2 linked regions of the Coturnix japonica genome follow. The protein of the gene in region 2 purifies or fractionates together with the protein of the main gene of each other region. This does not show direct contact. Links are inferred from orthologs where the notes say so. Each region holds a gene or a part of one and is shown on either strand. Other genes may lie near its edges.

Region 1 (4,449 bases), on a different chromosome or scaffold from region 2:
CACCCCCATAAAGACAGCGGGGAGGGCGGGCCGCTCCTCGGAGGTGGGCGCCGCCAAATAAGGGCCCTTTCGCAGGGTTCGGGGCGGCGGGGCCCCGGTGCCGGCGAGGCCCTACGAGGTGCCCGGCCCCAGCTCCGCGCGGCGAGGGAAAACGGCGCCGCTCCGGCCACCTCCGCGTTCTCAGCGGGCCCGAGCTGTTCCCGCAGCTCCGCTCCGCTTCTCGTGCGAAGATCGGCACGGGGCGGGACGAGGGCAGGACGGGGGGCCGACCTCGCGTGAGCTGCGGCGAGCGGAGGTGACCCGCTCGGTCAGGGGGAGGCGTGCGGGAGCTCAGCCCGGCGGCTGCCGGGAGCGCGTCCTGCCCGTGTGCGGGGGCTGCGGGCTGCGGGCTCACAGCTCCGTGTGGATCAACGCGTTACAGCTCAGCTCCTCGGGGAGCCGGATCCGCGCCGCCAGCCCCGTGTGCGCGTCTCGTGAAGCTTCTCCTTTAACACAGCTCCCCTCACACACGTTTCAAATTCGTTTGCCAGCTTCGTATATTATAACCGGACGCATATAAACCGCTTTAGATAACTAAAAATGGAAATGAGACGCAGTGGCGATACGAAAGGAATTATTTAAAGGAACAACTTTTCGTCACGTGAGCCGTGGAACGTTATTAGCCGGGCACGAGGCAGCTTTGTGCTCGGGTCTCAGGCGCCAGTCAGCGGCCGCGCGTACGGGAGCGTGCGCTCGCACGCATCGCTGTCCGGCCCCGGCGCAGCCCCACAAATCCCGCAGCGCAGCGCAGCGCGTTGCCGCGCCCCCAGCGCGGTTCGGGGGCAGCTCCGCGGCCGCCCGGCGCGGCGGTGGCTCCCGGGTCGCGCTGACGCGGCGGGGGCGCCGTGCCCCTCGCGAGCCGCGGGCCGCGCCCGTGACGCAACCGCGCTCCCGGCACGAGCGGCGCCGCTTCGCGCGACTCCGGCGTCCGCCGCGCCGCTCCGCCCACGGAGCTCGGCGGGGAAGGGCCGGCCCCGTTTGTGTTTCGCTTTCCCCCCGCCGTTAACGTTCCGCTTCTTCGCGTGGAGCGGAGTCGATGCGAGCGCTCTGCCCGGTGGCGGCGTTACGCGAGCATCGGCGGCCGGTTAAAGGGGCAAACGGCCGCGCGTTTCGACGGCGCGGGGGCAATCCTCGTCCTCCCCGCGTGAGCATCTCGGCGGTCCCTCGCCCGCCGCCCCGCCTTACACGGCACCGCGGGGTCGCACACGCGGCGCCGCCGGGGCACGCGGGACCCCTCCGGCAGAGCGCCGGGCGCCGGCGGCCTCACGCCCGGCAAACGAGAGTGAACCGAGAAGGCGCGGCCCCGGAGCGGCGCGCACGCACGCGGCCGCGGCGCGGAGAGGCGCTCCCCGCCGCCGTACCCCGCGGCCGGGCAGGGCGCCGGGCATGCGTGCTACGCGCAACAAGTGGATGCGCGGCGCGGGCGGAGGAAGGCGGCGGGGGAGCGGGGCGCGGAGCCGGGTCGTGACGCGGGGCCCCGCCCGGGCGAGCCGCCCCGCCCCGCGCCGAGCCGGGCAGGGCTGAGCCATGCTGGGCTGAGCCATGCTGAGCGGAGCCGGGCGCGCGGAGGAGGGGCGGCGCGGGGGGAGCGCGGCGCGGCGCGGAGGAGGGGGCGCGCGGGCACGGCGGCGGCGGCGCGCGGTAGCGCGCTCGGACTGCGAGACGGCGGCGAGGATGTGAGTGAGGAGCAGGCGGCGCCGCTCGCCACGCTGCTGCCGCTCCGCCGCCGCTCGAGGAAGTCGCGGCGCTCCGCCCGGGTGCCTCTCGTCGGCGGGACGGATCGGATCGGTTCGGCTCGGATCGGCGCGTAGGGAACGGAGCGCGAGCTCGGCGGGCGGCCGCGGCGGGTGGAAGGTGACCCCCTCCCCCCCCCCCCCCCCCCCCCCCCCCCCCCCCCCCCCCCCCGTCTTCCTCCGAGCACCTCCGCCTCCTCCCGGAGGAGGAGCAGCGCCGGAGAGGCAGAGAGCGCCGGGAAACAGACGCGGCGAGAAGGCGACCCCCGCCCAGCCCCCCGCGGCAGCGGCAGACGCCGATCCCCTCCCCGCCGGGGCAGCAGCGCCGGGAGCGGGCGGCGGCGGCCGTCCCCGGCTAACAGCGGGCGAGCCTCGGCCGCGAGCGGCGCCCGGAGCGGGTACGGACGCTCTTTCCAGCTCCGGCCCGCGGGGGAAGAGCGAGGCGGCCCCGACAGCGGCGGCGTCGGCTCCCCGGCCAGCGGCACCATGTCCGCCGCGCAGGTGTCGTCGTCCCGGCGGCAGTCGTGCTACCTGTGCGACCTGCCCCGCATGCCCTGGGCCATGATTTGGGACTTCACGGAGCCCGTCTGCCGCGGCTGCGTCAACTACGAGGGAGCCGACCGTATCGAGTTCGTTATAGAGACGGCGCGGCAGCTGAAGCGGGCGCACGGCTGCTTCCAGGACGGCCGTTCCCCGGGCCCCCCGCCGCCCGTCGGCGTCAAAGCGGTGCCGCTCTCGGCCAAGGAGGCGGCGGCGGCGGCCGCGGCGGCCCAGCAGCAGCTCAACCATGTGGACGCGTCCTCCAAGGCGGCTTCGGGGCTCTCCCAGTCGGGCCTGGAACGCTACGGGCTGAGCGCGGCGGCGGCCGAGCAGCGCGGCCGCTTCGAGTACCCGCCTCCTCCGGGCAGCCTGGGCGGCGGCCACGGCGCCCGCCTGCCCAACGGGCTCGGGGGGCCCAACGGCTTCCCCAAGGCGCCCGAGGACGGCCCGCCGGAGCTCAACCGCCAGAGCCCCAACTCGTCGTCGTCGTCGTCCTCCTCCCGCCGCGGCGCGCACGGCGGGCTGGTGTCCGGCCTGCCCCCGGGGGCGGCGGGCGCGCAGCTCAACGTTCCCCCCAACCTGCTGCCGCAGACCCTGCTCAACGGGCCCGCCGCCTCCGGCGTGGCGCTGCCTCCGCCGCACGGGGGCCTGAGCGGCCGCGGCGGCGGCGGCCCCCAGGCGCCCTCCGCCTCCTCCCAGGCGGGTGCGTGCGGCGGCGGCGGCGGCGCCGGGGGAGGCGGCGGCCCGGCCCCGGAGGGCTGCGGCAAGCGGCCGGGCTCGGTGTCCAGCAGCGACCAGGAGCGCGAGCTGAAGGAGAAGCAGCGCAACGCCGAGGCGCTGGCCGAGCTGAGCGAAAGCCTGCGGAACCGGGCCGAGGAGTGGGCCAGCAAGCCCAAGATTGTGCGGGACACGCTGCTGACGCTGGCCGGCTGCACGCCCTACGAGGTGCGCTTCAAGAAGGATCACGCCCTGCTCGGCCGCGTTTTCGCCTTCGACGCCGTCTCCAAACCGGGCATGGACTATGAGCTGAAGCTCTTCATCGAGTACCCCAGCGGCTCCGGCACGGTCTTTTCCAGCGCCTCCGGCGTGGCCAAGCAGATGTACCAGGACTGCATGAAGGACTTCGGCCGCGGCCTCTCCTCGGGCTTCAAGTACCTGGAGTACGAGAAGAAGCACGGCTCCGGCGACTGGCGGTTGCTGGGGGACCTGCTGCCCGAGTCCGTGCGCTTTTTCAAGGAGCTGGTGGGCGCCGACATGCTGCCGCAGCCGTACCTGGACGCCAGCTGCCCCATGCTGCCCACGGCGCTGGTGAGCCTCCCGCGGCCGGGGGCCGGCGCCGGCGGGACTCAGGGCGCGGCCGCAGCCTCCCGGGGCCCGGGCGGCGGCGGCGGCGGCGGGAGCGGGGCCATGCGCAAGAGGAAGGCGTCCCCCGAGCCCTCGGACTCGGCCGAGGGGGCCCTGAAGCTGAGCGACGAGCAGCAGCGGCAGCAGTGGATGGCCAGTCAGAGCGAAGCCCTCAAGCTCACCATGTCGGCCGGGGGCTTCGGGGCGGTGCACGGCGGGGGCCCCCCGCCGCCGCCACCGCCGCCCCTCGGGCCCCACTCCAACAGGACCACGCCGCCCGAGTCCGCCCCCCAGAACGGACAGTCCCCCATGGCCGCGCTCATGTCGGTGGCCGACACGCTGGGCAATGCCCACTCGCCCAAGGACGGCAGCTCGGTGCACTCCACCACTTCTACCCGCAGGAACAGCAGCAGCCCCGTGTCGCCGGCCTCCGTGCCGGGCCAGCGCCGCCTGGCCTCCCGCAACGGGGACATGAACCTGCAAGTGGCCCCTCCTCCCCCCAGCGCCCACCCCGCCATGGACCAAGTGCACCCCCAAAACATTCCGGACTCCCCCATGGCCAACAGCGGGCCCCTGTGCTGCACCATTTGCCACGAACGCTTGGAGGACACCCACTTTGTTCAGTGCCCTTCGGTGCCCAGCCACAAGTTCTGCTTCCCCTGTTCCAGAGAGAGCATCAAGGCCCAGGGGGCGACCGGCGAGGTCTACTGCCCCAGCGGAGAGAAATGTCCCCTCGTAGGTTCCAATGTGCCTTGGGCGTTTATGCAGGGCGAGATCGCTACCATCCTAGCCG
Region 2 (4,468 bases):
CAGCTCTTGTGGTATTGCTGGCAGATGCCATGCAAGTGCTTTGAGCCTCTGTTATGCTGCCTTTGAAGAATTACATGCCACCTGCAAGTATTTTACACTTCTGAGTGCCTCTCCCCCTTAGAAACTGTTTTCTTCTTTCATGAAGATCTACTATGGAGAATTACCCACAGACGCCCCTGGTTTTACTGCTCCTGAAACAACGCTTCTCTGCTCTACTTTAACATATGACAGCCAGTCAACACCTTGAACCACGCAGCCTTCATCTACGCTCTTCCTATTTAGGCCAGGAGCACCAATTCACGAGGTCCTGTGCTATTTCCTGTCACAGGCGGCCTTTAACAACCAGCACCCGTCGTGCACATAGATGCTATCCCATCCTTAGGCCACCTGTAGGCTCTGTCACTACAGTATCTGAGCTTCCACTGCTTCTGATACTCCAAGTACTGTATCCCGGAGATGTATTAACAGCATTGTTAATGCCACAAGGATGGCCCTCTCCAAACAGAGGCTATCTCATAGCAAACTTCACATTCTTCACCTATATGCCTCCATTCTTCACCTATAAGTTTTCCTCAGTTTTGGTTTAAAACTTTTATTTTTACACATGCATATTACACATACATAAGTGTACACTTCAGCTTTAGGCACACATGGATCTATCTAGATAAATCTGTTTTCCTAATGCAGGCTCCTTCTATTCTGAATATATTTCCAGTTCCTCTTGAATCTTAGCACCCATCTTCTCATTAAGTCTCATTAAGACTGCTTTTCTGACGCCACAGACATCTGCAGGCCTCCACACAGCGGAGATTTGGATCCTTACCCCCTGTCTAACAGCAATATTTTACTTCTCAAACCTCCTAGTTACCCCTTTCTATGCAGCATGATCCACCCCACAAGGTTACCTGGCTGTGCCTGTAACAAGCCAAACGCATGGAATAGAGCCTCAGTGAAGCAATGCCGTGCCAAAGGACTCACTGCACACTCGTGCTAACCACACTGTGTTCTGTCAGCAAGAAGAAGCCACAGCATGCTGGGGGCACATGGAGCAATGCCTCTGACAGACACCACCACTATGGGACAGTGAAGCCTCAGAAGGGGTCAGTGGCACGGAAAGGCTGTGATTCAGACAGAAACCATCTGCCTCCCCGACCACTTGTGCTAGTTTTATAATTGTGTCACCATTTCCGCACCAGCGTGAATTCAAATTTCGGTGCTACTTTCAACTCTCTTTATTTGGTACTGCTAAAGGATACTACATGCAAATCTAATTAGATTTAGTAACTAGCATCTTAAACATGAAGTATCTCATCTCTGGTTCTGCTTTACAAGAGCTCCTGTGTGCAACAGATCGCTGTCCAGAAGACCTGAGCACAGTATAAATGACAGATGTATAGGAGCAGCGTTCTGGGTGCTGAAAATGAAATCGATAGAATCACATTAATGGGAGCTCAGCGTATAAACAGCTCAGCCTGAAACTCCCTGCTGCGTCTGGTGCTCAGAGGGATATAAGGAGCTGAACGCCGCTGGGATCCGGCCCTGCTGGGCGAGGCAGTCGTTCATTGCAGAGCCTGGATCCCGGCCGTGTGCCCAGACACAGCTCGGCGCTGCAGTGCAAACAGAACTCCGGCTCCCGACTTCTATTCGGGAAGCTGTCCGGCTCTGGGCCCTTCTCTCGCCGCCTCCCTCCCGGCAGGGCACGAGAGCCGAACGGGAGCAACGTGACAGCGCCCCGTATAAACAAAAGGCCGCTGCTGCTGCCGGATCGGACGGGGAGCGCCGTTCCAGCTCCATCTCCGTTAGGTGCCGCCGATACCGGCCCGCAGCTCGTTCCCACCGCGTACTAAAATGACGAGCGCCCGCTCCCCACAGCCGCGTTTCTCCGCCGGATATTTACAGGCCATCCGAGCGCCGGGGAGCGGCCCTGGGCCCCGCGGCCTCTCGGCCCGAACCACCATCCTCGGCGACCATGGCCGAGGCCGTCCGCTCCGCCCGGGCCCGGCGGCAGCGAGGCGGCAGTGAGGCGGCAGTGAGGCTAACACGCTCGGAGCTGCCGGCCGGTCGGTCGGAGCGGAGGCCGCCGCGCGGGTCGCACCGCCCGCCGCTGGGCGTCACCGCGGCGGAGGGTGGGGGGCGGGGGAGGCGCGGCCGCCGCTTGTGTAACGGCCGGGAGGGGCCGAGCAGCGCTCCCCGCCGCGGCCCTTCCCGCAGCCCCTCGGCCCGCTCCGGCCGGGCCGCGCCCACGCCAACGGCCGCGGCAACAAGTGCGGGGCAAGGGGCGCCGCGCGGCCGGGGGGATCCGAGCGAGGCCCGCTCGCAGCCCAACGCCCCGCCCGGGCCCGCGGCCTCCTCCGGCGCCGGGGCCGCGCTCGGTGCTCCCGTGCCCGCTCCTTTGTCCCCACGGCCAGACGCGCCCAAGCACCGGCAGCACCGCGGCCTCCGAGCCGCCCCGTGCCGCTCTGAGCCGCCCCGCTCCAGGGCCGGGCTCTGCCCGCAGGACGCGCGCACCGCCACGGCGGTACCGGTGTAAAAAAACAGCACGAGCAGAACAACAAATGAGACACGAAATAAATCACACGGCTACGGGCGCTCGTTACCTTTCCGGAGCGTCTTCGCGGCACTTATATAATTCCTCAAGGTTACCGCCGTTGCCAGGGGACGCGAAATGGAAATGAAAACAGGCGCTGAATAATCGCGGGAGCAAAACTAAAAGTTACTCCCTCCGCCCGGGCCGCGAAAGGTCCAGATCGAAAGCAAAACAAGGAGAGGAAGCGGCGAGCCGCCGGCGCTTGGAAATCCCCCCGCCTCCCGCCGGGCCGGGCGGCCGCGCAGCGGCGGGGGCAGGGCTGCGGAGCCCGTCATCAAGCGGCTCGGCCCCGGCCCGCCCGCAGCACGCCCGGCAGCCACGGACACGGGGCCCGAGCGGAGCCACGACGTCCCGACGGGGCCGGGAGCCGCGGGGCGTTCGGAGCCGTGGGCCGCAACCGTGTGGGGACAGCAGGGCGGGACTAGGAGCGCTAAGCACGGCGCTTAGGAGCCGGCATCGCTTCGCCAAAGTTCTCGGTCTGCGGCAGGTTCTGCCAACCGCCTTCAGTGTCTGCGTGCCGAGGAGGTGCGAATGGCTGAAGGGAGACCGGGTGCGTCATCTCTGCCCAGAGATGATGAGGGAAAGGCCTCGAGCACGGTGGGAGATAAGGAATAACTCATTGTAAAAGGTCCTGCTTAAATGCAGTGTGTGGCATCCACACCTGTCCTGCATATGTGCACGTCTATACATTACCTTTACATTCTTGCACACGTGTTCAGGTGGGTGAGCTGTATCCACAAAGCCAAACCAGGTAACTGGAAACTCAGGCTGAATCTTTACGGGCTTGAGGTCTCTGTAGGAAATGGTGGCGCACTGAGCCGGCAGTGCTGACCCCAAGCAGGATGGAGGCCGCCCCTACACCAGCTGTGACCAGTGTGAGAATCCACCCAGCTCAGTCATCATCACGCTGGGGAAGGTCAGCTGGGTGCCCCTCAGTTGTCACGAAGCTGGTGTGGAGCTGCAGAACAGAGCACAACCAGGAGCCCATCAACCTCCCAGAGCAGCAGCAAAGGCTCAGGGGAGAGCAGCAAAGACAACTGAGAACATGGAGTGCCCCTGGTGCCCCAGTGACTGCACAGTCTGGGGTCTTTTAGGCTGCAGAGACTGTAGTAGAGAAAAGTAGGGATGCGTTGCTTGCTTTTCTAGCGTAAGAACTAGAGAGCATCAAACGAAACTAGCAGGTGTCGGGTTAAAAGCAGTCGGGAGGAGGAGGCTCTATGCACAGCAGTTAATTGAACAGTAGTATTTCCTGCTTTAAAGTTCCAAGAGGTCACAGGGCATCAAAAAGCACCCGAGCACGCTCGCAGAAGGAAAAAGCACGAGGTGCTGTTAAGCGTGAAGACTGCATCAAACTACCCCCTAAGCAAGTGATTTCTAGAGGCTGGAAGCTGCTTTGAGGCTGCAACAGTATCCATAGACCTCTGCATCTCCATCTCAGTGGGATGTGTTTTCTTAATGGGTTTTGCTTCGAGCACTTTGCTGTGTGGCACAAAGGGCCCAGCCGTGAATGCCTGCAGCCTGCCCAGCACTGCTCAGCCTGCAGAGGGAAAGGTTGGCCTGGCTGGTTCTGCAGTGCTCTGTGGCTATTGGCATTTCCAGTGTACGCTCTTAATTTGTTTGCAGGATGAGTGAGCTATGAAAGTCCGTAGTTGATGCCTCAGCAGATGCCGTGGGAAGAATGCTTACAGTCTCACTAATAATTTAATCTCACATTCAGAGGACACTTTATTCACCAAGTGGGCAGCCTGTGAATGACACAGTTGCCTTCCTGGAGGAACAACAACCAGCAGAATTTCCAGCTCTCTCTTTCCACTTCTTCCCGCTGCCTTCCTCTGATCTCCACAGGGCTCATGCAAAGGCATTAACAAAGACATTCCTCTC

Evidence for each region.
Region 1: the proteins of IRF2 (region 2) and IRF2BPL purify together in Homo sapiens (affinity purification with mass spectrometry; 3 studies listed by BioGRID and IntAct, counting the BioPlex papers as one, with this or other methods). This does not show direct contact. The link is inferred for Coturnix japonica from reciprocal best matches to the Homo sapiens genes IRF2 and IRF2BPL.

Annotation. Positions count from the first base shown.
Region 1 is NC_029520.1:35,383,961-35,388,409, reverse strand, and holds the start of IRF2BPL (probable E3 ubiquitin-protein ligase IRF2BPL), read left to right. Parts: upstream 1-1,646; 5' UTR 1,647-2,258; coding exon 2,259-4,449. UniProt on the Homo sapiens protein: Probable E3 ubiquitin protein ligase involved in the proteasome-mediated ubiquitin-dependent degradation of target proteins. Through the degradation of CTNNB1, functions downstream of FOXF2 to negatively regulate the Wnt signaling pathway.
Region 2 is NC_029519.1:34,979,576-34,984,043, reverse strand, and holds the start of IRF2 (interferon regulatory factor 2), read right to left. Parts: upstream 2,843-4,468; 5' UTR 2,598-2,842; intron 2,003-2,597; exon of another isoform or gene 1,898-2,002; intron 852-1,897; exon of another isoform or gene 1-851. UniProt on the Homo sapiens protein: Specifically binds to the upstream regulatory region of type I IFN and IFN-inducible MHC class I genes (the interferon consensus sequence (ICS)) and represses those genes. Also acts as an activator for several genes including H4 and IL7.